3 linked regions of the Elephas maximus indicus genome follow. The protein of the gene in region 1 interacts with the protein of each later gene in a biochemical or structural test. Links are inferred from orthologs where the notes say so. Each region holds a gene or a part of one and is shown on either strand. Other genes may lie near its edges.

What was found.
Region 2: the proteins of STAT1 (region 1) and MCM5 form a complex in vitro, tested with the Homo sapiens proteins (2 studies listed by BioGRID). The link is inferred for Elephas maximus indicus from reciprocal best matches to the Homo sapiens genes STAT1 and MCM5.
Region 3: of the proteins of STAT1 (region 1) and PRKCD, one has a biochemical effect on the other in vitro, tested with the Homo sapiens proteins (2 studies listed by BioGRID). The link is inferred for Elephas maximus indicus from reciprocal best matches to the Homo sapiens genes STAT1 and PRKCD.

What each region holds. Positions count from the first base shown.
Region 1 is NC_064824.1:89,263,958-89,273,577, forward strand, and holds the start of STAT1 (signal transducer and activator of transcription 1-alpha/beta), read right to left. Parts: upstream 4,565-9,620; 5' UTR 4,327-4,564; intron 215-4,326; 5' UTR 214-214; coding exon 86-213; intron 1-85. UniProt on the Homo sapiens protein: Signal transducer and transcription activator that mediates cellular responses to interferons (IFNs), cytokine KITLG/SCF and other cytokines and other growth factors.
Region 2 is NC_064822.1:178,858,169-178,868,146, reverse strand, and holds the start of MCM5 (DNA replication licensing factor MCM5), read right to left. Parts: upstream 4,396-9,978; 5' UTR 4,294-4,395; intron 4,069-4,293; 5' UTR 4,061-4,068; coding exon 3,894-4,060; intron 1,912-3,893; coding exon 1,785-1,911; intron 1,706-1,784; coding exon 1,577-1,705; intron 1-1,576. UniProt on the Homo sapiens protein: Acts as a component of the MCM2-7 complex (MCM complex) which is the replicative helicase essential for 'once per cell cycle' DNA replication initiation and elongation in eukaryotic cells.
Region 3 is NC_064838.1:57,354,277-57,364,461, reverse strand, and holds the start of PRKCD (protein kinase C delta type), read right to left. Parts: upstream 4,205-10,185; 5' UTR 3,958-4,204; intron 659-3,957; 5' UTR 545-658; intron 1-544.

The sequences.
Region 1 (9,620 bases):
TCATCTTCCAGTAAACATAGCTCCAAGTCACTGAATCAACAAGTATTTTAAAAGCAGAGATAAATGTCAAGTGAGTGTTCCTTACCAGTCTTGCTTTTCTAGCCACTGGGCCAGGTACTGTCTGACTTCCATGGGAAAACTGTCATCATAAAGCTGGTGAACCTGCTCTAGGAATTTGGAGTCAAGCTGCTGAAGCTCGTACCACTGAGACATCCTACAGGGAAAAAGAACATGCATCATGACTGGAAGACCACAGCTCCAAAGAAAGTGTATCTAGCACCATGTTTTTAAAAAATAATCCAAAACATAATATATCTTTGAAATATGTTATTTAAGTGGTGCCTATATTCTAAAGCCCATTTTTTACTGAGTTTTGGGATCAACATTTTTTTCTTCTCCAGGAAGCATATCTTTAGGTCTTTTCTCAAATGTCAACACACCAGGGAAACCTTCTCAAGCTACCTCATTTAAATTGCAACCTGGAAAATACAATCCTGCTTTCTTGATTTATTTTTCTCCATAGCACTTATAATCATATATTTCCTTTTTTTATTTTGCTCTTTGTCTGTTTTTGTCACATGAAGAGAAGAATGTTGTTTAGTTTTGTTCACGGCTCTACACCCAGAAGAGCGTAGGACACATATAGTAGATGCGCAATAAATATGCCTTTAAAAAGGATCTTGCATCAAAAAAAATCAACAGAAAACATTTTTTAATCAGTAGATTTGGTTTAGGACAAACTGCACGAACTCTCCAAAAACCAGTCTCTACAAATTACCTCACAACTGGAACAATAAACAAACAAAAAAAACCCAAACCCACTGCCGTGGAGTCGATTCCTACTCATAGCAACCCCATAGGGTTTCCAAGGCTGTAAAGCTCTATGGAAGCAGACTGCCACATCTTTCTCTTGCAGAGCCACTGGTGGTTTCGAACTGCTGACCTTTAAGTTAGCGGTCAAGCGCTTTAACTAACCGCTGCACCACCAGAGCTCCTAGGGGACCAATAAACAACATCAAATAATAAAATGAGGGAAAACCGAAGTTGTCAAGGATTTCATACTTGGATCAACAATCAACATCAGTGAAAGCAGCAGTCAAGAAATCAGACGACGTATTGCATTGGGTCAATCTGCTGCATAGGACCTATTTAAAATTCTAAAAAGCAAAGATGTCACTGAGGACTAAGGTGCACCCTGCCCTAAGCTGTCACCTTTTGAATTGCCTCATATGCATGCAAAAGCTGGATAATGAAACAAAGAAGACAGAAGAAGAACTGATGCATTTGAACTGTGGTGCTGGCAAAGAATACTGAACATAACACGGACTGCCAGAAGAACTAAGCAGTCTTAGAAGAAACACAATCGGAATGTTCCCTAGAAGAGAGGGTGGTGAGGCTTTGTCTTGCTTATGTTGGACATATCATCAGGAAAGATCATTTGCTATAGAGGAACATCATGTTTGGTAGAGGGTCACTGAAAACTAGGAAAACCCTCAATGAAATGGAATGTCACGACAGCCTCAACAATGGGCTCAAACATAACAAAGATCATGGAGATGATACAGGACTGGGCAACGTTTCCTTGTTATACACAAGGTCCACAAGAGCTGGAGCCCACTCAACGAGCCCACTCAACAGCAACTCACAACAACCAATTACAGTACATTTGTCGTTTACTCAAACGATTTGACACTGGTATCTTACGGCATGGTGGTTAAGGGCTCAGCTGCTAACCAAAAGGTCGGCAGTTCAAATCCACCAGCCACTCCTTGGAAACCCTATTGGGCAGTTTTACTTTGTCCTATAGGGTCACTATGAATCTGAATCGACTCGACAGCACCTAACAATGACAATGGTAAAATTAATCATTTTTGATTATACATCTTTTTAAAGCGATATATTTTTCTTCTTTGTCTACCGTATATAATACATCTGGATACAAATCTTCAATCTTAGAAATGATTTGTAAAGATTAAAGCAACACTTAAAATAATCTGAAAGAATAAGACAGTATTTATCTCTTGGGTTAAATGTAAGTCAGTTTTTGCACAGCAGCTCAGAAGTTTAAAAATAAGACAATATCTGATTTAAAAAACCAACCCAAACCCACTGCCATCGAGTTGATCCGACTCATAACAACCCTACAGGGCAGAGTAGAACTGCCCGATACAGTTTCCAAGGAGTGGATGGTGGATTCGAACTGCCGACCTTTTGGTTAGCAGCCGTAGCACTTAACCACTACGCCACCAGGGTTTCCAATCCGATTTAAGGAAGTCTTAAAATCCATATGAAAATGAAGAACCTTCCATTACCATAGCATAACTCAGGATTTTTATCAGCCCACAGTTAGGAACATTCGGAGCGGATATAAGTGGATCTCATCCTGCCAGGCCTCTAAGGGAGGGTCTGAATTTTCAAGGATATGGGAGAGTGTGTGTACTCCTGCAGGCTCAACTTCATGCCAACTCCACAAACCTCCTTCCAAAGGAAGGGGACTGACTGGCAAGATTACAAACCTGGCTGCCATCACCAATGCCACTAGAACAGACCGGAGCCCACCTCTGTGGCAACCTGCTGTAGCAATTTCATTTCTCACTTAAAATATATTTTACCTACGCAGAAGTCTCGGAATCTCTCTCTCTTCCTGCTAAAAGAAACCACTGCCGTCGAATTGATTCCGGCTCATAGTGACCCTATAGGACCTTCCTGCTAGGTGTCTAATAAAACCCATTGTCGTGGAGTTGGTTTGGACACATACGAACCCTACAGGACAGAACAAAACCGCCCTATAGGGTTTCCAAGGAGTGACTGGTGGATTGGAACTTCTGACCTTTTGGTTAGCAGCCATAGCTCTTTAACCACTGCATCACCACACACCCAAAACAAATACTCCAGCCTGAGTTTCAACCAGCTGGGACTGCAACTCCTCATATTAGCTGGATGACCTCAGGTTGCTCTCTCCCCTATCAGCATGATGCTTATTAAGGCTCCGTGGGCTAGTATACACACAGAACATAGCACAGAGCATGAGATCGATAAATAAACATTAACAAATCTAAAATCAATCTTGTCTTCTCACAAAACCTGTTACTTCCCAGGGAGTTGCATCACCATCTCTCAGTCACCTGGTTCAAACTCCAGTCTACCACTGCCCGCCTGATGGACTACATTACCTCCTGCTTAAGAAGGCTACAGGCTTCTACATTCCCAGGCCAACTTCTGGCCCGCCTCATTCTCATCCATATACAAAGCAACCCTACCCCACAGCTGCCACATCATCTACTGTTTTTTGACTGTGCTCAACATTTCTGCTTAGCTCCCGCCAACACACGCACCTGAAAACAGCCTCCCCACAAATTTCTGCCTCTGCAAATCCTACCAGGATTGAGGCTAGGTGCAAATGCCTATTCTTCCCTAAAGCTGTCTGAAACTTGCTGCTGTTGTTGGGTGCCACTGAGCTGATTCCGACTCGTAGTGATCCCATGTGACAGAGCAGAACTGTCCCGTAGGGTTTGCTTGGCTGTAATCTTTAAGCTTTCTTTGACTTGTGTGCCTCACTGTATCTGAACCTCTATTAGAGCATCAGTCCCAGGGGTCCTTGTAACGCTCTACGATGTCTCCCCTATGTGATGTAAGCTCCAGAGCTGCAAGGACCATGCCTTATTTTTCTTCACATCCTCTGAACCTAGGACAGCACCCTGCACAGTATGTGTTCCATAATAGCTGGCTAAACTGATATCTAATTCTCACTGAACTGGGATGAAAACGGCAGACCATATTATGGCCCAACAAGTTCCTCATTAAGCAATGGTTGCATACTAGATTGTGCTGGAATCTTAAGACTTATTTCTGTCTCATAAAAACAACCTCCCCCCAACTTCTACATACAACATCCAAAGCACAATCAGCCACACACCTATACATATATCCTAAAATGCTTCGGTATTGCTCGGAATTTTTTTTCAAGAGTAATTATACTCTTCGGGGTTTGCAGGAGCTACATATCACTTTTTAAATTCCCAGAAACCATTTACAAGCCATATGCTCGTTCATTCTTTTCCACGAACATTTCCTTGACTGCCACCTTGTGCCTGGCACGGCACGAGAGGCTGAGGATCCAACCAAAGCAGCAGCTACACTCAGCGCGTTAGGTGCCAAGACTGTTGGGTTTGCATGCACAGGGTGCAAGCGTCTGAGCTACCGAGGGTGGTACATGGAATAGGAAAACTTGCGGCGAAAAAGCAGAAAACGTCCCGCTGCACAGTCCCGATGGCCGGCGTTCCGGGACGTCCCGCCCCCAGGCACCCGGCACCTTGCGCCACTCACTCTGCGAGCCAAGCCCGGAAGAGGTGGACAGGGGTTTTTGAGGATGTAGCGGCGGAGACGCGTAGGTGCTGCCTCTCCGAGAGCTCCGAACCGCCTCTTCTAGGTCTGGGGTCGAACCGTCGCGTCCCCTAGCGCAGGTAGCCCTCTCGGCAGCCTCTGCGCAGGAAAACGAAAGTACCAGGCTGGAGAAAAGGCCGTGGCCACAGCACTGCCTCCTTCCGCCTCCGCCAGTCACCGAGCGGCTGCCGCGCTCGGCCAATCAGACGCGGCTGTTCCGCGGGCGTCACCACCTCCCTCTGCGGGGCGCTCCCTTTCCCCTCCCCGCACCCGCCTTCCGTCGCGTCTTTCCGTAATCGTTAGCGGGGCCTGGACTTAATGACCTAACTTTCAACTTTTTTGCAGTTTCGCCGACTGAATGCTATTTGCATATTTCAGAGAACAACTAAAAGGAAGTGCTGTGTTTACAGCGGCCCAAACTTGACCTAAAGGCGCCCTGGCGGCGCAGTGGTTCAAACGCTCTGCTGCCAACCGAAAAGTTGGAGGTTTGAACCCATCAGCTGTTCTGTAGGAGAAGGGTGTGGCAGTCTGCTTTTGAAAAGGTTACAGCCTTGGAAACCCTATGGGGCAATTCTCCTCTGTCCTGTAGGGTCGCTATGAGTCCGATAGGACTCCGGGCAACGGGAAAGTTGGCCCTGCATTGGCCCCATACCCGAGAAGCCGAGGTAAAGAACAAAGTTGGTGATGTTACCATTCTAGAAACTCAGCAGCTGACTTCCGTGTAGATAAATCCAGCGGACGGACGTTTTCCTGTCTTCTCAGAAACATTTGGCACAGTTGACTCATTCTTGAAACGCTTTCTTGGGCCTAATTACAACACATCCTTCTTCCTACTGCTGTGGCATTCTTTATCTAAAAAGAATGCTGACTCCATCTTTACTACCAAATGTTAGTTTTAAGTTTTAGTCAGGGTGGACTTTGGTCAGCTTCTTTACCTACACTTCTCAGGCGGTCCTCTGGTGACATTACCCATAGCTTCAATTGCCTTCTAGATGTGAAAGACTCTTAAATGTATCCTGTCCCCACCTCCCGTCTGAGCTCCACACCCTAGGCCCCCTTGATTCTCCACTAGGATGTCCCACAAGCTCTGCAGCCTGATGTTCAGAACTAAACTCATCATTTTCCTCCTGAAATCTGCTCTTTTTCTAGTGATGATAGTGCCAGAACCCTGGGAGAGATGGGTTCCGTTGTTTTCTCTCTCACCTCCCCCACCCCCCAACCTGGTCCTCAAGCGTTGTTCCTTCTTCCCCTTAAATATTTCTCAAATATCATTTACTTTTCTCCCTGTCTTCTGCCACCCACCCCCCATCTCTTATTTGAACTGTTGCAGTACATTCCCAAGTGACTGTCTCTCATCAGCTTAGTTCCTTTTAATCGATTCTCCATACAGTGATTTGAGTGATTTATTTATAATTTGCAAAGTAGAACATGTCATTTGTCAACCTGAAAATCCAGCAATGGTGTTTCTTTGCTCTTCTTATAAAATACAGATTTCTTAACACAGATTACAAAGCCCTGGCTCCCCTATCCCTTTCCCCATCTTGTAACACTCCTTCTTTACTTACTTCAGCCTTTTTTTACTTCAAATAAGCCCAGCTTTTTCCCCAAACTTGGTGCCCTCTCACCAACAGTTCTCTATATTTGGAAAGTCCCTTGAGCCAACACCCCCTCCCTCAAGTTTTTTGCTGGCTAATTCATCTTCTAAGTCTCAGTTAAAAATCTCAGCTTAAATATACTTCCCTGGGATAGCATCATGAAGTCAGACTAGATTAAGTCTTACTGGAACGTATGCCATAAAACCAACTGGTTGCTTCAAGTAGATGGGATTTGAATCAAGCCTTGAATAATAGGGCAACTTTAGATAAGAGAGGTTGGCCTCTCCAGAATTTAAATAATTCCCCAGGAACATGCACATAGGTATGTATTATAGTATTTTACGATTTCCACGTCTATATACCCATCTTCTTGTCACACAAGTACCCCCACATGGCAAGTACTGAACTAGTAATAGCAATGACTCTGCTACCAAAGTAGTAGTGAAACCAGCTTTCTGTACAAAGAGATGCCAGACCACTAAGAAGGGCTCACAGGTAACTGGAAGTCTCCTACTCACTTGTGCAAGGACCCGGGGAATGTTTTATTCCCTGAGAAAAGCTGATCCTGGGAAAGGTAGATAATATGTTAAAAGTATGTTTTTCTGGTACTATAAAACACTACCTTCCCTATGCCTTCAGCCTCCTTTGTTCCTCTGTCATTGACTGTACAAGCCCTCCTCGCTTCAGAACTGAATGCCATGATACATACACTCCAACTAGACTACCTTCTTCTTGTCTCTTTCTTCTTCACTGTATATGCTGAATCAAATTCCCTAGAATGTTGCTTTAATAAAGTCATTCCTTTCTCAAAAACTCTTAGGAAATCCCTACCATGTTTATGATAAACACAAGCTTTGCCTGCTAGTGCTATTACCTAACTAAACCCATCTATCCCTTCCTCTGCCCCCACACTTTTAATTTTCCCATTTCTACCCCTTTGCATATACTATTCCCCCAAATAACAAATCCTGCCCCTTACTCTCTTATCAAAGTCTTACCCAGCCCAAATATGTTCTCCTTCCTGAAGCATCTCACCCTGTGGTGGTCAGTCTGGTCGCTATGTAAGTGTCTACTTGGGACCCTGGTGGTGTAGTGGTTAAGAGCTACAGCTGTTAACAGGAAGGTCGGCAGTTTGAATCCACCAGGTGCTCCTTGGACACTCTATGGGGTAGTTCTGCTCTGTCCTATTGGGTCACTATGAGTTGGAATCGACTTGACAGCAGTGGGTTCTCTGAAGTGTCTATTTATTTTTACAAGAACCATAGCAAGTCATGTGGCCAAGACCAGAGGCAGTGCACATGAAGGTATAAACTCCCCCCCCGCAAAAAAATCATTGCAGTCGAGCTGATTCTGACTCATAGTGACCCTACAGCACGGAGTAGAACTGCCCTGTTGCATTGCCAAGGCTGCAAACCTTTACGGAAGCTGACTGCCACATCTCCCTCTGCAGCTCACCTGGTGGATTCAAACTGCCAACCTTTTCATTAGTAGCCTAGCCCTTAACCACTTCTCCAACAGGGCTCCTATGTAGAGGTATACTCTACCCAAAGTGAACCATGGCAACGGGTATAGAAGGAAAGAAAAAAACTGAAAATACAACCGAGTACAAACGGTATTAGCTAGTTTTTTTTTTTTTTTTTAAGATTTATATCTTTTGCAAATTTAATATTGTTGTATATGAACAGATGTGACGTATGCCCCGTCTGGTCAGAGGCTTTTACTATTCTGTGCAATTGACTTGTCCTTGTGTGATCCTTCCCTGCACCAAGATATGGCATGCCTCAGGTAGCCGCTGCTTCCTCCACCTGGGTCCAGGAACCAGAGATGTGTGGAACAGACTCCAACCTGCCGCCTGGAGCAGTACTGCAGCAGCCCACCCACAGACCCTTGAGTGAGAAATGTTTGTTGTTGTCGTAAGTCACTGAGATAAACCAAACCAAACCAAACCCGTTGCTGTCAAGTTACTTCCGATTCATAGCAACCCTATAAAAAAAAAAAAAAAAAAAAAAAACCCTATAGGACAGAGTAAAACTGCCTCATCGGGTTTCCAAGGAGCACCTGCTGGATTCGAACTACTGACCTTTTGGTTAGCAGCCGTAGCCTTTAACTACTGAGATAAGGAGGTTGTTTATTGCCACTGAAATAGCTGACTAATTCATAGATGGCAGAATCTAAATTCCAAGTTTTTTTAAACAGGCTAGAATGCTGCTGGAAACCCTGGTGGTGTAGTGGTTAAGTGCTGTGGCTACTAACCAAAAAGTTGGCAGTTCGAATCCACCAGGCGCTCCTTGGAAACTCTGTCCCATAGGGTCGCTATGAGTTGGAATTGACTTGACAGCAACAGTTTATTCAACGGTTTAGAATGCTGATGGGCCAAAACCAGTTGGATAAAATTCAACACAATAAATATAAAGGCCTGGAGTTAGATTAAAAGGTCCCTGGGTGGAGCAAATGGTTTGTGCTTATCTCCTAACCTAGAGGTTAGCAGTTTGAACCCACCCAAGTGGCTCAGCAGAAGAAAGGCTTGGTGATCTGCTTCTGTGAAGATTACAGCCAAGAAAACCCTATGGAGCAATTCTACTCTGTAACAAACACATGGAGTAGCCATCAGTAGAAATCGACTCGATGGCAATGGGATTTTTTTTTTTTTGGGTTGAATCAGTTCAGGACTGGCAAGTGACTTACTGTGACCAATATTATGCAGCAGACATGATATTGTGTCATTCCGAGCATAGGCCTCAAGAGATGTTAACATGCTCTGGTATGTGTCGGAATGCTGCCCAGCTTTCGTGAGTACAAGCCAAGCTAGCGTGTTGGAGAGACCACCCAGACCTCAGCTGAGTCACTGCAGTCATCTGAAAGCTCTGGCCTCAGACATGTGAGAGAGTGTGGGTGAGCTCAGATGGGCCTGACCCAGATGAACAGAACTGCCAGCCTGCTCTAGACTCAAAAAAAAAAAAAAAAAAAAAAAAATTTACAAGCAATAGTAAATGATTGTTGCTTTAAGCCACTGAGTAGGGTAGTTTGGTGTGTTATATAGCAGTAGATTACTGATACAGATTTTATGGGAGAACGCAAAGATTTTACTACTGAATTCTAAAGCACAATTGCTTCAATACAGCAGCTACAAGTCTGATGAACAAATCTGTAGTTACATATTTAGAGACTTTCCCTAACCCCCAGCTACCATATTGTGTTTTAGCCATATGTTTCTAATGCTGGTAGTAATGTTGGTAACCTAAATATCTAATAGCAGGAATTTGCGTAAATGCCAGTCAATACCTCTTCATCCCTTCTCCTTTTCGAATGTTAGCTCTACCATGCAACCCTGAGAATGTCACTAAACCAGTGTAAACCAAATTTGTTAATCTGTGATATGATGTAAATAGAGGACTTCTAAAATTTCTTCCAGTTCTTAGGATTTGGATTTTGTATAGCCACTTCCTTGACTTGGTGTATATATTTTCTTTCCAGTTAAGAAGGACTGAAGTCGTAGGAGACTTCATACATAGCAACTTATTAAAATTCAGAGGTATAGAATTGTAGGACGTACATGACCGGATATCGAGGAAAGCTATGAGTATTTTCAGGAAAATGGCCACGTGCAACCAAGCCATATTCTTTTCATTAAATGAAAATGGG
Region 2 (9,978 bases), on another chromosome or scaffold:
AGTTAAAGGGAGCTGGGGTGGTGACAGTAGAACAGCATGATGAACGTATGTCATGTCAGCGAGCTGCATCTGTGAAGACTGCTGAAATGACAAATGATTTGTTACCTATATATTGATCACAATTTTTAAAAATTATTTTAAAAAAGGAGGCAGGGTCAGAGAGCATCTGAAACCTGCTGGGAAGTGTCCTGGGCCAGGAGATGGGGGGCACAGAGCTGCAGGGAGGGCCACAGCTCTTCCTTTCAGCTGAAAACCTGTTTGCTGAGCGTCCACCCAGTGGACCCAGTTCAGTGCCAGGCTGCCCTCAACACGGGGTTCACAGGAGCCTCAGGCATGATCCTTGCTTTTAAGGACTTCACATCATGTCAGGTGTCACCTCCTCAAAGGAGCATTCCCTATCTTTTCCAGAGAGGCCTCCACGCTTTCTCTCAACACCCTTTTTCTTTTTTTTAATTGTGCTTTAAGTGAGAGTTCACAGCTTTAGTCTCTCATACAAAAATTTATACACACATTGTTATGTGACCCTAGTTGCTATCCCTATAATGTGACAGCACACTCCCCTTTCCACCTCAGATTTCCTGCGTCCATTCAACCAGCTCCTGTTCCCCTCTGCCTTCTCATCTCACCTCCAGACAGGAGCTGCCCACTTAGTCTAAAGTGTCTACTTGAGCTAAGAAGCACATTCCTCACCAGTATCATTTTATGTCTTATAGTCCTGTCTAACCTTTGTCTGAAGAGCTGACTTCAGGAATGGTTTTAGTTCTGGGTTAATGGAGAGTCCTGGGGCCATGTCTTCTGGGGTTCTTCCAGTCTCAGTCAGACCATTAAGTCTGGTCCTTTTATCAGACTTTGAGTTCTGCACCCCACTTTTTTCCTCTTCTGTCAGGAACCCTCTGTTGCATTCCCTGTCAGGGTGGTCATTGGTGATAGCAGGGCACCATCTAGTTCTTCTGGTCTCCGGCTGATGGGGTCTCTGGTTTATATAGCCCTTTCTGTTTCTTGGGCTAATGTTTTCCTTATGTCTTCAGTGTTCTTCATTCTCCTTCATGCTCCAGGTGGGTTGGGACCAACCGATGCATCTGAGGTGGCCACTTGCTAGTTTTAAGACCCCAAGCACCACTCACCAAACTGGGATGCAGAACATTTTAATAAACTTTGTTATGCCAATTGACCTAGATGTCCCCCGAAACCATGGTCCCTAGATGCCTGCCCCTGCTACGCTGTCCCTTGAAGTCTCATCACCCTCTTGATTTCTTTCCTTGAGTTTACAACCACGTAACCTTCTATCACGTATAATGTTGACTGGCATGCTCCGTCTCCCCCACTGGATGTAAGCTCCTCAAGGACGGGAGTGTGTCCATTCAGTCTGTCACTGTTTCTCCAGGACCTAACACAATGCCTGGCCCACAGGAGGGGCTCGGTAAACATTTGTCCCGTGAGTTGGTTTTACAGAGGAGGAAACCAGCTCAAAAAGGTGGAGTGACTTGGCAGGCTCACACAGCTGGTGCCCAGGCCTGCCCCTCTCCACCATGCACTGGCTGCCACCACCCTCAGACCGGCCCCTAGGTGGACCCACCTTCAGGCTGCGAATGCTGAACGGGCTGGCGTCCGACCTAAGCATGACCTGGATGTCCTGGAGCACCTCCTCGCCGGTGGGCCGGGGCCGGGTCACCTCATCAGCCACCTCCTTGGCAGCTTCCTCTAACTAGAGAAGAGGAAGGGGACAGGCTGTTGTGATGGGGCAGGGCCAGCCCTGGAAGGCTCAGGGATGGGGGCCCACTCACCAGTTGCAAGTGCTCGGCTGGCTGCTTGTACAAGTAGTCAGCTAGGTCCTCATCAAAGCTGGCCAGATCCTCCATCTCCACTTCAATCCAGTACTCGCCCAGGTTGTAATGCCGCTTGAGCTCATCCCTATAGCGGGCGGGTGCGCAGGAGGGAAACCAACGCTGGCTGAGGGGTGCCTGCACATCTACATCTCCTGCAGCGCGGCCACCACCGCGCCCTCCCCTTCCCAAGCCAAGCAAACAGCTCACTACAAGGTGCTGCAGAGGCTCCCCGGTGCTGACAGAGGAGTCCTCCAAAGAAAGTTCCACGGGAGCGCCCGCAAGATAAAGGACGTTTAAATGCTCGAAGACGGGGTTCCGCACAGGTCAGCTTGGCAGACACTCACTGCAAACTTTCACTGCATGACTCCTTGGAAACTTTAACTCACTCCTGGAAACTAACCTCAAACTTGGAGACTCCCTGGCAGCAGGGACCTTGACTGTCTTGTCAACCACTAGACACTCTTTTTACAGAGCATCAGACAGAACTGTTCCAAGAACACATTTTGGGGACCACTGACCTATGCACAGCCTGCTCCCCAGCCTCATCTCAGGACCCATTCTCTTCTACTTTGTCCAGTAGCCATATCAAACCGTCAGCCGGTCTCTGAAAGTCCCTTGTGTAACAGGCCACCCTTCCTTGTATAACAGGCCATCCATGCAATCACTCCTCCCTGGAATGCCTTCCACTCCCGAAACTCCTCCCTCAGCTCAACTGTCAAGTCAGACTTCAGCTCCTTCCTCTGCCTTCCACTCTTCCACTGAGGCAATTATCACCTTGTAATTTATTTGTGGGTCTCTAAGCCTCACCTTGCTGACTTAGTAGCCTCTTCAGGGCAAGCAGTGTCTTTCCATTTTTGTATCTCAGTGCTTAGCACTGTACCCTACACGTTGCAGGTGATCAGTGTTAGCTGGTCTGGCTATAAATGGAGGCAGGAATGGCTATACCCACTTTACTGATTAAGAAACTGAGGCCCAGAGAGACAGTCACTTGCAAGTCACTCAGTTAAGAACTGGTCGGGTTCAATCCAGGGCCTGACTTTAACAAACTCAAGTTCTCTGCATTTTATGGTCTCCAGATAGTAGCTTGGCCTACCAGAATTCAACAAGACACCATTGGCTTTTACAATGAATGAAAGGCAGGGATTTGTCCATTGTCCAGCTTGTTCCATGCTGTGGCCCAGCACCTGGGACAGCACCCAGCACACAGCAGGTGCTCAATCAATACACAAGCAGTTCCCGGGTTATATAAGAGATCTGGGTTACCAGTGAGATTCATTCCTAAGTGTGTCTTTAGAAATTTGCAGTTAAGTCAGAACTCAGAGCTAGGACAGGCTGGAAATGGCACATGGCATTCCCTTCCCCCTGAGGCCTAGGTCCTCTGGGTCCTCTGCGTGGTTATTACTTAGCCTTACTTTAGTGCAAGAAAAGGCTTGAAGTCCTTTCAAGGAATTAAAAACTGCACGTGCAGCAAATGAAGGTGATTGTGATAAAGAATTCATTGAGGAGGGGCTGGTTCAGTCGTTTTAAACTGAGAGCAAAGTGATGTAACATTAAAGGCCCAGTACAGTTGTCCTGAGTCAGACATTCTCAGTCAGACGTTCATAACCCAGAGACTTACTGTAAGTTTCAAGACTGAATGAATGAATGCATGAATGAGTGAAGGGAACCCTAGCTGTCATCTTCACCATTTACACCCATGGACAACTTGAGCTTACAAGGTATCACAGACACTACCTGGAAGAACATAAGAAGCACTTGAACAAGGAACAAGACCTGTCTCTGTCCAAGCAGCCCTAGCTGGGTTGTTAGTGGCCCATTCGACACACCCCAAAATTAACTTCAGTTATAAAACAGATAAAACCATATGCTCTGGGGGCCAGGGGAGTGGAAAACGCGCTGTGACCCGGGTGATTCGGCTCTCTGGTCCTGTTTCCAACCTCTGCTCAGGCTGTCTAGGACACTAATGGGCTCTAAGTGAAGTGTGGCCAAACATGGTCTGCCCCACCCCCAGCTCTACAGCAGAGGGGCTGAAGGTGCATCTCTGCTCCAGTCCCTCTCAGTGCCCACCTGTATTTGAAGGTGAGGCCGGTGCGGTCGGTGCCCACTCGGTACTGTCGCAGGAACTCCCTGAAGCGCTTCTGGAGCTGAGACTTGCGGGCCTGCCCCTCATCGGCCCCGGGGTCCCCCCCGAAGCTGTCGCTGTAGAAAATGCCAGGGTCGTCGAAGCCCGACATGACTGCACCTGGCAGGGGAATAAAGAGCTAAGGCGGGCTGGGAGCAGTGCGCGGCATTTTCTCCCCTCCGACGCCAGGGTCCTCTGCTCGGAACCAGAAGCAGGGATGTCCCGGCAATGAGTGGGGGTGAGGGTGGCCCCAGTTCCCCTCCCGGAGGCCACCTCCACTGAGACCCAAAGTGCAGATGCCAGGGGACCTCCGTGGGGTCGGCTGCCTAGTCCCACCGGCCTCACCTCTCCCTCCCCGAGCTCCACGGGCTCCGGGAGACAGGAACCTCCTTGCTCCCCGCCGGGTTTCGCGGGAAAAGCGGGACGGCGCGCTCAGACGCCGCGGCCGCTGAGTCCTTATTGGTTCGCCGGAGCCCTGCGGCCAGCGATTGGGCCACTGTGCGACCCGTGATCAAACCCCGGACCTCCCAGCCCCGCCTCCCGCCGGAGAGGATTGGCTGTGGGGCATATGACGTCAGTTCTAGCCTTCTTCCGGGCTCCATTTTCTGTGGGAGGAGCAATTGATTTGGCGCGAAACTTCTGACTCGGAAGGAAGAGGCCGCGGTAGTGGTGGCAGCGCGGGTGGGGCGGGTGCAAAGATGGCGGACGGGCCAGTTTTCAGGGGACGGGATGAGTGCGGGCTGCCGGTAGAAGTGCTGAAAGCTGTTTCGTGTACTTTTCCTGAGATTTTTAAAAAGCCCTGGTGGCACAATGGTAAATCACTGAACTGCTAACTGAAAATTTGGCGGCTGTAACCCACCCAAGTGGCACTGCGGGAGAAAGGTCTGGCGACCCGCTCCTGTAAAGATTATAGCTAAGAAAACCATATAGGGCAGTTCTTCTCTGTCACATGGGGTCACTATGAGTGGGAATCAACTTAATGGCATGCAACAATAAGAAAATGACCCCTTTCGGAACCGTGGGGTGAAAGAAGTAGCTTAGAAATTAGAGGGTCAAATTGCCCCATTTTGTAATGACAGACTCAGGCCCAGAGAGGCGAACCCTTGCCAGAGTGCGATCCAGCGCTCTGTGGTTCTGAGGAGCCCACGGCCCTGTGGCCGGTGGATGGGAGAGGCAGCATTGGAACGCAGTCGCCTGCATCCCTGCTTCGTGTGCTTTCCACCCTAACACGCTGCCTCCAAAAGCTGAAGATTCTTAAATTATTTGATGTTGTTTAACATTTGAGAAAATTCACAACGTGATTTCCAACCTAACTTGAAAAATTGGAAGATTTGGGCAACACCTGGGCTTGCATTCTCAAGTAACAACATGAGCTGGAACTGAGTGGCTCCTACCCTTTAGATGAACATGGGTTCTCCAATTCACCCAGTCCCCACTCAGCCTAATTCTCCCCTTAAGTTTTCCTATCTGGCCCCCAAGGAGCCCTGGTGACATAGTGGTTTAAACACTTGACTGCTAACCAAAAGGCTGGCAGTTCGAACCCACCAGCCAATCAGCAGGGAGATGCGGCAGTCTGCTTCCAGAAAGATTACCAGCCTTGGAAACCCAATGAGGCAATTCTTGTCTGTCTTATAGGGTCAAAATGAATCGGAATCGACTCAACTGCCACAGGTTATAGGTCTGGCCCCCAAAGGCTTGTGAGCTGTGACCTCTGCTGTATCTCAACTCCCTCCTTGTACACATAAAGTCCCTGGGTGGCAAAGTTTGCCCTCAGCTATTAACCAAAAAGGAGCCCAGGTGACACAATGGCTGAGGGCTTGGCTGCTAACAGGTTGGCCATTAGAACCCATCCAGCCGCTCTATGAAAGAAAGACCTGGCGATCTGTTTCCATAAATATTGCAGCCTAGAAAGCCCTATGGAACAGTTGTACTCTACTCACATGGGGTCATTATGAGTCAGAATTGACGAAATCCACTCAACGGCACCCAACAACAAGAACACTAACCAAAAGGCTGGCAATTTGAACCCACCCTGAAGCACTGGAGAGGAAAGACCTGGAGATCTGCCTCCTTAAACATTACAGCCAAAAAAAAAAAAACCCATGAAGAATTATGCAAATAGGGATAAAGCACAGAGAGATCAGCTAAAAATGCGAAAATGCATTGGTGTTCAAACCCAGAATTAGAACCCCATTCTTCCAACCTCTTGCCTCTGTGCTTGCCACTGCCACAGCCTAAGCTTTACAAACTGTTGAGTGACAGCTTTGTGTCTGCCCCTGCCTGTTGCTGACAAACTGAAGAAAAAGTCAAATCCAAAGCTTGAAGAGGTGTGACCAAGCGGCCAGTGTCTGGGCTGAGCCTGTCAACCCGGTCCTGCCATCTCCTGTGCATCTTGGGGGGCTGCCTTATCTTGCCCATTTGTCAGAAAGGATGCGTGAGCATGCCCCTGCTAACAGGATCTGCCCCAAGCTGTGTCAGAGACCCAGCCAGCACCGAGGGGCAGAGTTTGTTTGGCCCCAAGATTTAGAGAACTCATTCTGGGGCCCTGCCCACACACAACCTGAGTGCTTCTAGGACTAGCCTCAGAACCATGACTTCTCTGGGGTCCGTGGAAATCTATGTAACTGAACGATGCCCTCTTGGAGCTGGTTTTGTGCCTGGAAATCCTTATGAATTAGAAATGCTTCTTTACCCACCAACCCTTCCCACAACCACTTTATTGTATTACCTCCTTAAATAGTACTAAGATCTTTAATTACAGGCTCATATGTCAACTCTGGCCCCTTTGAGTTATGCGACCTTGAACAAGTTACTGTGAACTCTTGGTGTTTGTTTCTTCATCTGTAAAATGGAGATTGTCGTTGTTAGTTGCCTTTGAATCAGCTCCAATTCATGGTGAGCTATGTATAACAGCACAAAACAGTTCCAGGTCCCGTGCCACCTTCATGATCGTTCGTATATATGTTTGAGTCCATTGTTGTGGCTATCGTGTTAATCCACCTCATGGAGTATCTCCCTCATTTTCACTGACCCTGTACTTTACCAAACATGCCCTGTTCTAATGATTGGAAAACGGAGGCAGTGATAGTGAATTCAAACGGTGCCTGGTGCGTAGGGTCTGCTTGCTGTTATTCTTATTAAACTGAAGTGCACCATCTCCCTCATCTCCCGCCCACTCCTCTCCAGTCCCACCTCTCAACGTGAACAACTGGAACAGAGCCCTCCACTCCTTTTGCCCCATTCACACAAATGTGTATTTACATGTATGGGAGGATTTTAATAAAAAAATGATACTAAATTAATCTGGAGTTTGCCTTTCTCATTATTTTATGGATGTTCCTCCAGGTCAGTAGACATAGATTTAACTCACTGTTTGTAATAGGTACTTAATTTTCCATAGTGAGGATACCAAAAACCAAACCTGTTGCCACTGAGTCAATTCCAACTCATAACGACCCTATAGAACAGAGTAGAACTGCCCGACAGGGTCTCCAAGGAGTGGCTGGAGGATGTGAACTGCTGACCTTTTGGTTAGCGGCCAAATGTTTGACCACTGCGCTACCAGGGCCCCAATTCAGCCCTTTTGCTATTAGAATTCAAGGTGGGTTCCCTTCCTTCATCATTCTTTCCTTCTCTACTCCCCGCCCCCCACGCCTTTCTTCCCTCCTTCCTTTTCCACTACAAACTATCTATGCCCCTTTGAGGAAACTAAGTCCAGGAAACAAGCGCTATAGCTGCAATTTGAATGCCTAACCTTTGCATGTTGTTGTTAGGTGCCCTCGTGGCGACACCTTGTGACAGAGTAGAGCTGCCTCATAGGGTTTTCCACACTGTAATCTTTATACAGGAGCAGATTGCCAGGCCGTTCTCCTGTGGAGTCACTGGATGAGTTCAAACAGCCAACCCTTCCGTTAGCAGCTAAGCACTATCTCAACAGTGGCACCTGGACCTGGTGGCACATTGGAATCTCCCAGGGAAGTTTACATAAACAGAGATTCCGGAGTCCCACTCCAGCTCTGCAGAATCGGAGCCTCTCAGGGCAGGGCCTGGATTCCGTGGTTGAGGGTCCCCAGGTGATTCTGATGCCACCATGCACAGGCTGGAGTTTGGACACCACTGACCCTCCCACCAGCTATAGGAACTGGGTGTGTTGTTCCTATGTTACCACTGAACAAAATGAGACTGGAAGTGACTTGTCCAAAGTCACAGACTAGTGACACAGTCAGGGCTAGGTACTAAAGAAGTGGTGTCACTGGGGGGCATGGGGGTGGGTGTGTGGGCTGTCAGAGGGGTTGACACCAAAATGACCCCAGGGTCCATGGCAGTGGCAGCGGCAGTGGCAGTGGGCTGGCCAGTGGTGGTGGGGGAGGGGCCACGAAGGCAGTGGCATCACTAGGGCTGGTGTCACCTGTCTCCCAGTGCAATCTCTTCATTACCTACCCTTCCCCCCATCACCCACCAGTCTCTAGGGTTGGTGTTACCAGTGTGGTACCTCATCATCACCCCCATTACCCTTACCTCCTTCTCATACCTCCCCCCACCACCAGCCGGTCAGGGTACAGGAGGCCTGGCCACCGTGCCTGCCATTGGGTGGAGAAGAGGGTCCTGCCTTGGCAGATGGCAGAGGGGAGGGGCTACCCAGAGCAGCAGGGAGCGGGGCAGAGCGGGACCATTCTGGATGGAGGGGTGGGTTCTGCTGCACTGGCTGACACCAGCCCTAGTGGTGCCACTGGACTAAAGTCCCCTGACTCCAGTCCTCGTGTACAGGCCCTGTACGGACCTTGTCCCTGCTCCATCCAGTGCACCTTCAGTGACCAGGTGTCAGTTTCCTGGGTGTGGAGGCTGTTTGTTGAGGAGTAAGGCAGCCAGAAGGGCTTGTTTTCCAGCTGCAACTACCAACCAGCCAGTCGCCGTCCAGTCAGTTCTGACTCATGGTGCCCCCCCGTGTGTCAGAGAAGAACTGCTCCATGGTTTTCCATGGGCGACTTTTCCGAAGTATATCTTTCAGGCCTTTCTTCTGAGGCACCTCTGGGTGGACTCCAACCTTTCGGTTAGCAGCTGAGCACTCAACTGTTTGCACCACCCAGGGACTCCTGAGGGCTGGTCAGACCTGCTTTAAATTCTTCCTGATAGTGGTAATGGCTCCTCACAGGTTTCCTTGAGATTAGAGGAGACAAAAGTGAAGTGACTCGCACAGGGCAAGAAAGTATCACTCAGCAAGAATCACAAAACACTGGTCTCCCCTCTTTCACAACAGAAGCTGACTTCATAGTGATGACACTTCCCAGGCATCCCATTTGCTTCTCAAGACAGGCTTGTCGTTAGGTGCCATGGAGCTGACTCCTATGCACAACAGAACAGAACACTGCCTGGTCCTGTATCATCCTCACAATTGTTATGCTTGAGCCTATTTTTGCAACCACTGTGTCAATCCACCTTGTTGAAGGTCTTCCTCTTTCTCCCTGATCCTCTACTTTACCAAGCATGAATGCCTTTCTCCAGGGACTGAACCCCAAGACAAGAATAATGAGGTAGATATCACTGTATTCACGTTATAGGTGATAAAGCTGAGCCCCAGAGAAGCTAAAGAACTAACCTCGCAGTCAGAGCTACAAAGTGGGGGAGCAGAGATTTGTAGCCAGGATCTCTCTCCAGTTCTGAAGATTCAGTGCACAGAACTCATACATATTACCCCAGATAACAGGGCAGCTCCATCGTCAGTAAAGGCAAGTCTTGCACCAAGGAGGGTTCAACACAATGATTCACCACCCAACAACTGCCTAAAACTGCTCCCTATGCTCAAAATGGGGTACAATATTGGAAACCAGCTCCTACCACCCTGGTGGCTCCCCACCAGGCATTCAAGAAACAAGGGAGGAAAGGTCAGTTCCCAACGGAGCCCAAGAAAAACACTTCAAGTTGCTATCAGGCAATGTAGTTTATTGTTTCACATACAAGTTAGAGACCAAGGCCACAGTGCTGTTAAACACCTCCCTCCCAACCCACCCGCTCCCCAAAATACCCTCCCCA
Region 3 (10,185 bases), on another chromosome or scaffold:
AGAGGGATATAGAGTCCCTCTTCGGGCCCCAGAGAGGCTGGAGGGAGAGGGGACTGGGGAACAGAGCTCGGTTGTGCCAAGACTGGAAGACCCAATTCCATTTTCAGTTCAGTCTCCGACTCTTTGTGGGGGCCAGGGCGAATCTGTTTCCTTGTGTGATGATATGGACAGCCTGAGGCAGATACGAGGGGCCACAGAAGCGCAGATACATCCACTCCTAACCCTAGGCTCACATGCTCACTTCTCTCTAACTGTCCAGCAAAGCGTCACCCCTCCTTGCCCCAAGAACCACTGATGGGTCCCAGGCCTCCAAGCTCCAAGACCGAAGCCTTCCCCAGGCCAGAAGCCAATGTCTGGCCAGGGAACCCCCGGTGGGCAGGGCAAGCCACTGCCTCCTCTGGGACCCCAGTTCCCACACCCAGTGCAAGGACTCTTCATGCACCCCACTACTCCCACCCTATGGTGGGAGGGGAGGAGCCCAAGGAGGAAGGCTGCCCCTGAACACTGCGTATCTGTCCATCCGCCTAAAAGGACCTAGTGTTACCTGTGGCTTCCAGCTCCTGCTTGAGCCTAGTCCTTGCTTGTGCTGCCGCCGCCACGCAACCACCACCAGAGAAGCAGGCCCGCTGCCCTCACCCGGGGCCAGTTCCCAGCAGACCTGCAGGGACAGGAGAAAACAGCTGAGCCAGAAGGTGCAGCCAAACAGACTTTCCCCATCGGTCAGCCCCAGCATGGCTGACATAGGCCCAGCTCATCCTTGCCTGGCTCTGAAACCTCAGGCCTCTCTGGACTCGGCTTCCTCTTCTGTGAAATGGGGTGGTGGGCCCAACATTTCCTGGGCAACGGTAATATGTCCATTCCACGCTGGGGGTGGAACACTGTGTTCCTGCCCTCCGAGTGTTTCCAGCCTGGTGGGGAAGCCATAGGGCATACACAAGAGAGCCATTCCTGACCCTGCAGGCTTTGGGGGGCCTAGGAAGCAATCAGGTACCCCTACTCTGTGGTCTCGAGCAACTCCTCTGAGCCTCAGTTTTCCTCATCTTCAAAATGGGAAGAATGCTGGTACACATTTCCCTGGGTGGTTCTGAGGCTCCAATGATGAGACATGCCCAGTCCTCTGCTAGACTCATATTGGGAGTATCAAATGAATAGTAACACTTTTTCATTCCTTGTTTGGTACCTTGTAGCTCTGGATATTCTCAATTATTGATGTACCCATTATACAGCTGAGGAAACTAAGGCCCAGAATTATCCTGAAAGGAATGGATGGCAAAGGCAGCAAAGAGGCCCTGGTCTCCTTTTTCTGCCGGCCAGGCACCTACAAAAGATGCCCCTCCCCAGATGTGAGTCCCTCTCCCAGCTAGAGACCCCATCAGCACTCCCTAGGGGCTAATGTATCCTCAGGCTTTATCTTTTTGTCTGTACTTTAAATTATTTCTAATTTCAATTTAAACTTCAATTAGCTGTGCCAGCTAAACGGTGTCAGTACCCTGCAGTCACAGGTCGGAATGACCCCCCACCCCTTCGCTGCTGCTGAAACTAGGGGTGGGGCCGAACAGGGCTGAGTGCTAGGGGCTCTGTCAGCCTCTGCTTCCTCCCACAAGCAGCCTGGTCAAGGAGGTGGGAAGATAACATCAATGGACACATCCCAGGCAGGAAATTGGGTTGGTGACTGTCTGGGCTTCCATTAGCCCCACTCCCAGGAGAATGGGAGTCATACAGCTGGAGAGGCGGTGGCTAAATAAGACTTAATATGTGCTGAACATTCATTAAAGGCCAATGCGGTGATAAAGGACCCCTGACACGGGACCGCCAGTCCTCAGGACGACCTTCTCCATTCTGCACATAAAGAAACTGAGCCTTAGAGAGGCCTAGCTGAATCTTTTGCTCTTAAGATGCCCAGCAAGTATTGGAGCCTAAGTCTTTTCTGGTTCCAGAGCCCGAGGTCTTAGTTACAACACTACAAACCCCAAGACTTTCCCCCGGTGTGTGTCAACTTGGGAGAGCAGAGGATGGCAAAGTATGGGGCCTGGGCCTTCCCAGACTACCCAGGAGCCAGGGCCTGGCTTGGGGCCTGCTGTGTGCACACTCACACCCTGGCAGTCCACCACACGCTCATGATTGGGTTCTCACCCCGCCCCTGGCACTGTCACCCAGGGCACAGGCACCACACACCTTGTCACACCCCCTAATGCCACCGACACCCATGCCCAGGCACTCTCAGTTCCCCACAATCACGGTCACTCCCCGAGCACACGCACTTGCAGTTTCATACAGTCAGACTGTGAGTCTCCCACCAGTCATCCGCTCACATCGTAACCCCACACCGCCACGGACTCACCCCCAGCCACAGCCCCGTCACACACCGGATCCTTTACACCACCCCACAGCCAGGTAGTGGCTGACCAAACACCTCAACATCACACACACACACACACACACACACACGCACACAGAGCTGCCCTTTGCCGGTCTGTCTGCCACGCCCCACCTCAGTCCACAGAAGGAAGAAGGAAACCCAAGGGAACAGTCCCCTCCCTTGGTGACCAGGTCAGCCTGATCACGGTGGCTCAGTCACAGAGGAACAGAACTACATGCGTGTGTGCACATATTCATACACACATATTAGCCTGGTAGACTGGCACCCCGATATCGGGGGCTACCTCGATTAACAGGTCAAATGGTTGGTGGGTCACCATGACACACCCAGTGTGCAACGCAGGACCCTTGAGACACACAGGAACACTCACATACTTAATCCAACACATAGGGGGAGTCTAGTAACAAAGAACACACCAAGACATGGTTCACACATAGTTGGAAGGACTCACACAGAGCCTCAGGACACACACCCAGACACACACATACCCGCAGGCAAGTCCCACACGTGAGAAAGGACACACACACAGGCAAGTCCCAGAAACAGTGACAAAAAACACACAAGCAGATCTAGACACACAACATACCCACTCGCCCAGACACAGGCGACTCAGCAAGGGAGACAAGGTCCATGCGCACAGGATGGGGGCCAGAAGAGAAGGGACCCCTCCCTGCTCACGCAAAAGCCCCAGGTTTAAGTGGGAGGCTCAGTGGGGCTCTCCCCTTCCCCAAGCCGGGGAGCTGAGCAAGAGGGGCTGCTCTGACAGTGCAAATCTCCTGCCTCCCTCCGGACCGGGAAGACGCTCCCGCCTCCCCTGCCCCCGCCCCTCACCTGGCTGGGTCCCCGTCGGAGATGGCGCCTGGGCAGGGCAGGGGCCGGGGACCGACGGACCAGGCAAGTGCCCCCAAGGGAGAGGGTTGAAGGGGGCAGAAGGGCAGAGAGGTGGGGTGGAGGCTAGAGCCAAGCCCAGCCCAGAGATAGATGGAAAGAAAGAGTGACTGAAAGAAGAGAGAGCGAGGAGGAGGCGCCGCGCGGGCCGGGCAGGGACACCGGAGCTGGAGGCGAGGCCCGGCGGGCGGCCTGGCTTGGTTCGGCCCCGCGGTGAAAAATGAGAGGCGGCAGGACAGGCAGGGGCCGCGGAGGGGGCGGCGGGCGTGATCTGGGGGTGCGGCTCCCGGAGCACAGGACCAAGGGGCGGGGAGGGGGGCGATGGGGCACACGGGGGACGAAGGACAGACAGGACTGGGGAGATGCGGAGAGGGGGACACAGAGGGAGTGGGGACAGACCGACGGACAGAGGGTCCCAGAGAGATTCGGGAGGGACACTCGGAGGGGCTAGGGACGCCCAGTCGGGGAGAGGAGCCGGGAGCCCGAGGACTAGGGGGCCTCGGCTCCCGCCGTCGTATGGAGGGACGCAGGCACCAGCGGATCTCGGCGCGGCGGGACTTTCGCCGCCTACGGCTCAGTTTCTTGATTTCGGAAAGGGGAACCGGAGGCGGGGGGGCGGGGGAGGAAGGGAGGGATGGCGCGCCCTCCGGGTAGCCCCGATCCCGCGCCGGGGCCCAGTCCTCACTCACCTCCGGGCGCGGGGCCAGGCGCCAGGGGTCTCGGCGGCTGGGGTCTGGCTCCCCGCGCGGCTCTGAGGCGCGCGCGAGGGTCGGAGGTCGGTGCGGGCCCTGACCCGAGCGGGCCCGGCGGCAGATGAGACACGACCCGGGTCTCGACGCGGTGGGCGGACGCCGGGGGTCGCTCAGGGGCTCCCGGCAATCGCTGCCTCCGGCTCCGGCGCCGCCGCACACGGAAGTGCAAGGGGGCGGGGCGGCGCGACCTCACCCAGGTGCCGACCGGCCCCGCCCCCTCTCTGACCCCGCCCACCAGGGACCGCCCCCACCAGGGCCCGCCCCTCGGAGGCCTGCCCCCTCCAGCTCGGAGCCTGGGGTCCGCTGTCTCCGCCTACCTCGGTGCGGGTCACAGAGTCTCAGGCCATCTCTGCCTTCCCCAGCACACTTCACCCTCCGTCCGTCTTCGGTGTGCGCACCAGCCCTCAGAGAGGGTCCTGTTTTTACAAAGGAGGGCGCTCAGGCCCCAAACGGGAGCCCCTTCACTCCAGCACACTGGGGCCCGGGAGGCAGCGGCAGGGGTTCCCCGGCTCCTCGCGCCCGCGCCCGCGCCCGCGCCCGCGCCCGGGACTCCCCGTCGGCCAACCGGCCGGCCTTGCCAGACCTAGATCCGTCTCTTCCTGTCGGCTGGAGAGCGGACGCGACCGGGCTCCGTGCCCGCCGCCAGGCCTGCCCCCGGAGATGGAGCCGGGAAGACTCCAGGGCAGCAGGCTCTACCCGGTCCCAGTCGCTAGCCAAGGGGTTCTGGGAGCGTCCCCTACCCTGACCGGCCCCCCAGTCCATCACTCTCCTGCCTTTACGTTAGGAAGCTCCCTGTCGCCCCCGCAGATGCCCGAGTTTCCTTCCCAAACACCGAACATCGTTGTGGGCCTTCATTCATTCATTTACTCGTTTATCCCTTCACTGAGTGTCCTCTGGGCCCAAGGCCTGGGGACCGAGTGGACCCCAGTAAGTCCATTACCCTGCAGGCAGAGCTCACAAAGCTGTTAGCCCTGTATTCATCTAAAGAAATATCACTTTCCAACAGGCAGAGAAGAGGGTTCCAGGTCCCAGGTCCCTTGGGGGACAACCTAGAGGAGATGAGAAGGATCTGAACAGCTTTTCCCGGCTGAGGCCAAAGGGATGGAAGTGGGGGCAATCCCTGAGAAGGCCTGAGTTGAGCAAGGGGGCCATGGCTAGGACTTTGGTCTTCTGAAGAAGTGGAAAGGTCGTAAAGGTGGTTACATGAGGTGGAATGACAGGATCAAGTGGGCTTCTTGGGGGACAGATGGGGCAGAGGGGCTGCAGGAGAGAGGAGGGGCTGGGTTGGGGACAGAGGGGCTGCCTGTTAAGGTGGGAGGACCCTGGGTTGAGATCAGGGCAGATGAGTAGAGAAGAGGGGCTGGGCTGCAGGACTGTGATGGGCATGGTGCGGGGGGGGGGGGGGTGGCTAGTGAAACCCCCTGGGGATGGAGAGACTAAGAGAGAGGAAGATCCTAAATCCTGTTTGCAAGTGAGGTGGTAATCAGGAAAGGAGGGGGTCTGGCCTGGAGACAGAAAAACAACAATTACTCTTCCCAAGGTGGGGGGTGATGTGGCAGCTGAGAGGGAGCACAGGCTGGTGCCCTACACCCCAGGAAGAGGGAGGACCCAGTTTGAAAGCCAGATGATGTCCGGGTTCCCAGCCCTGACGCCTGTCCATCGTCCCATCAGGGTGGGCCCTTTCTACCAAGGTGGACACCTCTGGCCACACTGGACTACCATTTGGGAAATAGCCTTGCTCCTTCTCACCACCAGGCCTTTGCACATGCGGTTCCCTGGGCCCAAATGTCATTCTCACCCCCACCCCTCATATCTCTACTTGTCTTGGTTGTATCCACTCATATGCCACAACTCCCTGATGTCTACTTTGAATCTGTGCCCTATCCTTGAGCAAAGGGGCCATATATATTAGGGTGTTTTGTGTCCTGGTTGCCCCCCCAACCCCCACCCCATGGCTTCCCTGGGGTTGGGCTGGAGGCAAGAATGAGCTAGGTGAGCTTCAGGTGACCTTTGCCCATCTGGGATCAGGTTTCCTTTCTGGCTCCTCCCTCTAGGTCCACAACAAACAACTTGGCTTCTCCTTCAACACCAACAGTAGGCTCACACTGTGCCAGGCACTGCTGGGGGAGGGCTGACCCCTGGGGAGTTCCAGGTCCAGCCACCAGACCTTTGCTTCCTGCTGTTCGCCTTGGAAAACGGAAAAGAAGGAAAAGAAAACAATGGCTGTCACTGACAGGAGCTTCCCAAGACGCAGGCCCTGAGCAGGGTGCGGGATGTGTGCTGTCTGATCAGTTCTCAGGACCTTGTGAGGTGAGAGCCACTATTAGTGCCAGTTTTAGTGATGAGCAAACTGAGGCTCAGAAAGAGGTGAAGCCATTTGCCTAAGGGTGCACAGCCAGTAGGATTGAAACTGAGGTCTGCCTGTCTCCAAAGCCCATGCTTTAATCAGAGGTTCTGAATCTCGGCATTACTGACCTTTGGGACAAATAATTATTTGTTGTGGGGGCCATCCTGTGCACTCTAGGAAATTTAGGGGTATTCCTGGCCTCTACCCACTAGATTCCAGTAGCAATTCCCCAAGTTGCCACAATGAGAAATGTTTCCAAATATTGCCAAATGTCCCCAGGAGGGTAAAAGCACCCCTTGTTGATAGCCGTTCCTTAGAGTTGGGCTGGTGTTGCAAGAGCAAGAATGATTTAAGTTAGACCCCAGGAAGCACATTTCTGGCCCTCAGGATTATGCAGACTCAAGAGCTCAGGCTCTGCGAGCACCTCAGCGACTTTCTCCTCTGGAGACTCCAAGGAGAAGTGCGATGCATTCAGAGGGGGAGCAGAGGAGCTGAGGCTGTGCAGGCCATGCTGTGGCCAGGACACAGGAGGGATGCAGGTGGGCTTCCCTTCAGAGATGGCCCTGGACCTAGGGGGAACCAGCTTGCATGGGGTCCAGGGAGCCTGGGTCAAGGTTGGCTGGAGCCACCCTATACCCTGGAATTGCTCCTGGGTGCCAAAGAGATGGAAGTGGGCGGTGGGGGGGGACAATCCAGGTGCCCCTGTGACCTGCCTGGCATTGACCTAAGAAGGGCCCAATGAAGCCTAGGAGGAAGTCTTGGCTGCGCCACTTGCCAACCGTGTGACCCTAGGCGGGCAACCATACCTCTCGGAGCCTGAGTTGTCACCTATGAAAGGAGGCTGATGAAAAGCCCATCTCAGGGGCTTAGTAAGGATTAAGTGAGGTGATGTGCGCAGTGCTTTACCCAGGGTGGGCGCCAGTGGGGGCTCAGTCCACACTGTCCAGAGTTACTGGGTATTGTCATTGTGCCAAGCCACAGGCTCTCATTTGTGGAAGAGCTCTCGATAGCCTTGAGTGACGTAGGGTGTAAATCCCTGAACAGGGCTGGGCCCAAAGCAAGCACCAAGAAGTGGTATTTTCCCTTCCTCCTCATCCAGGTTTGCAGCCAGGGAAATGGGTGGATCGGGGTAGCACTGGGCAGAGTCCAGACTCCCACCCTTGGAGCCCACCTGGGCTGTCCAGAAGAAGGTCAGTCTGACTCCTGCTGCTGCTGTCTCACTGAGAGGCATGAACCCTGGGTGTCCCCCAGGATTCAGCCAAGCAGCCTAGAAAGGGCCTGGACCTCCCTCTGTCCCTAGGGTCCACCCAGCTGTGGGCAGGATGGGTGCCCCACCTACTTACTCTCAGCCAGGATTTTGTCCTTGTCCTGGCGTCTTCCTCACTGGGCCCCTCTCTGCCTCTCGCTCACTGTGTCTCTGTTTGTCCCTATCCCCTCCCTGATGCTTCAGCTGCCAGAGGCATTCCCATCATACCTAGAGCACTGGCTGGCCAAAAGGAGAGTGGGTTCATGTTTCTGGAGCAGGAGGCCCAGGCCAGCCAGGATGGTGCACCTGTGCAACTGCTGGAGATGTCAGAGCCTGGAAGGGTCCGGTTGGGAGTAGTGACGGTGGGGAGGGCACTTGGGACATGGTCCAACCTGTGGCCAACCCTTGGGCTGCCATGAAGATCATTAACAGGGGTATCAGCCTGGGGCACAGGGTGGGAGGGCAAGGGCAGGTGGGAAAAGCAGTGGCCTTGGAGACAGTGCCACATGGCAGGGAAGTGCCAGGTCAGGGGGCTGGAGGGCCCACATTCACATCCTGGCTCTGCCGTGGACCTGTGCTTTAGCTGTGCGTCCAATTCTCCATCTGTCCAGTGGAGATTATAGTAATATCCTCATGGGGGTGTCGAGAAGATTGAAGAGACCAAGCTCCTGAGGCACTAGTAGCAAAACTCAATAATCCAAGTTGTTGTTAACTCCCAAATAAAGGGTTGGTGAGACTGGGCTAAAGGTCTCCAGGTTCCTTCCTCAGTAAATGTGTGTTTGTGTGAAACCTGAGCAATGCCTACGTAGACAAGGGGAAGGTGCTTTCCAAAAGTGCGGGGCACAGGGCTTTCCTGAAGCGCTGGCAGGCCAGCCCAGCCCCAGCTCTACTCTGGGAACCCCTCCTGGCCCCTTTGCCCACCTGCCCCCTACAAAGGGCTGGGAGGAGGGTTGGCACTGGTGTTTGGGGCAGTCAGGAGCCACGGCTATCCCCTGGACACAGACCTCTCTTCTACCCCATTCACCTGCTCACCTCCCCTGTCCCTCTCCCGCTCCGCATTCACCCTGCTCTGACGCCTCACACTAGGCGCAGGCACCTGGGGTGTCCAGAGGGCTCAGTTACCACAGCCCCCGGGCCTCACTAGCCCCGTCACCTGCCTATGCCTTATTCTCCCCCGCAGAGGATGGCTCACGGAGCCCAGCTTGGCCCGGGGGAAGCTGGAGGGTGGAGGTATCCTTGGGCTGGATGGCGGCCCCCAAGGTGGAGAGGATGGGTAGGACCGCCCGCCCACCAGAGTCCGCCGCGCCGCCCACAGACCCCCATCCACACCCGCACAGCCGCGCACTCCCGGGGGCCGCCGCGCGCACGGCCGGGCAGGCTCGGCTTCCGTGCACCGGTACAGACAGGTCCCGTTCCCGCCCTCGCCGGGGCCCCGCCCCGCCCCGCCCAGCCCCAGGGAAGCCTTTCCAATCCGGGGGGGAGGCGCCCTCCCAGCCGCTGACGCAGGCCAGCCTATACACGACCCGGCTCTATTCCGGGGCCCGGCAGCCACCTGGCGGTTGGAGAGGTGCCGCCACCTGGGCTCGGGCGCCAGGCGGCAGCTTCCCCTGACACTGGTTCGATCCAAGAAAGTGAGGAAGACCCGAGCACACCCATTTTATGGATGCCGCAACCGATGCAAGGATCATTTACCACCTCGACCTAGCCTGTTCCTCAACTTGGAGCCTCTGAAAAGACCTCGAGAACAAGGAATTGTGGATAGGAGATGAGAGGAAGCTGTTCTGATGAAAAAGTAATATATTTCCAGTTCCATTACAGCAAATAAGGAAAATTAAAGACAGGTTTACAGAAGTAGAAATCTATAATTGCACCCATAATTTCTCTCTCTCTCTCGTGCATATGCTGCCCAGGCACACCTACCCTCCACACTGTCATTGCATCTTAGAAATTGTTCTGTTGGCAGGATGCGATCAGGGCAGGCTTTCTGGAGCACGTGGCTATGGGGCATTCGGAAACTGAGCAGGGCAGCCTGGGGATCTGGACCGCTTAATTCTTTTGTTCTGGCACTGGAATGGAGGGATCCTAGGCCCCTGACCAGACTTCACTCACAGTTTGCCAACTACTCTTGGCAGTGGGCAGTGCCTGGAGAGAAGTGGTTGGGCTAGTTGGACCAGCAGAGCCTGAGCACACAGCCAGCAGCCTCCGCCCCAGGTGCTCCTTGGGTAGTGAGAGGCTGTGGGGCACCAGGATACCCCTGCCAGTTGACCCACCATCCTCCCACACACTGCCACATCAAGCCCAGGCTGTGCTTTGCCCTGAAATGTACTTCTAATCGAGCTGGTAGCATTCTTACCGGGCCCCAGGTAAATGGTCCTCCTCCATATGGAGCCTTCCAGATCCCTGCCCCTAACCAAAGAGGTCATCTGCTTCCTGTTAGTTGTTAGGTGCCATTGAGTCACTTCTGACCCATATCGACCCTAAGCACAACAGAATGAAACACTGGTCAGTCCTGCGCCATCCTCACAATCATTGCTATGTTTGAGCCCATTGTTGCAGCCTCTGTATGAATCTA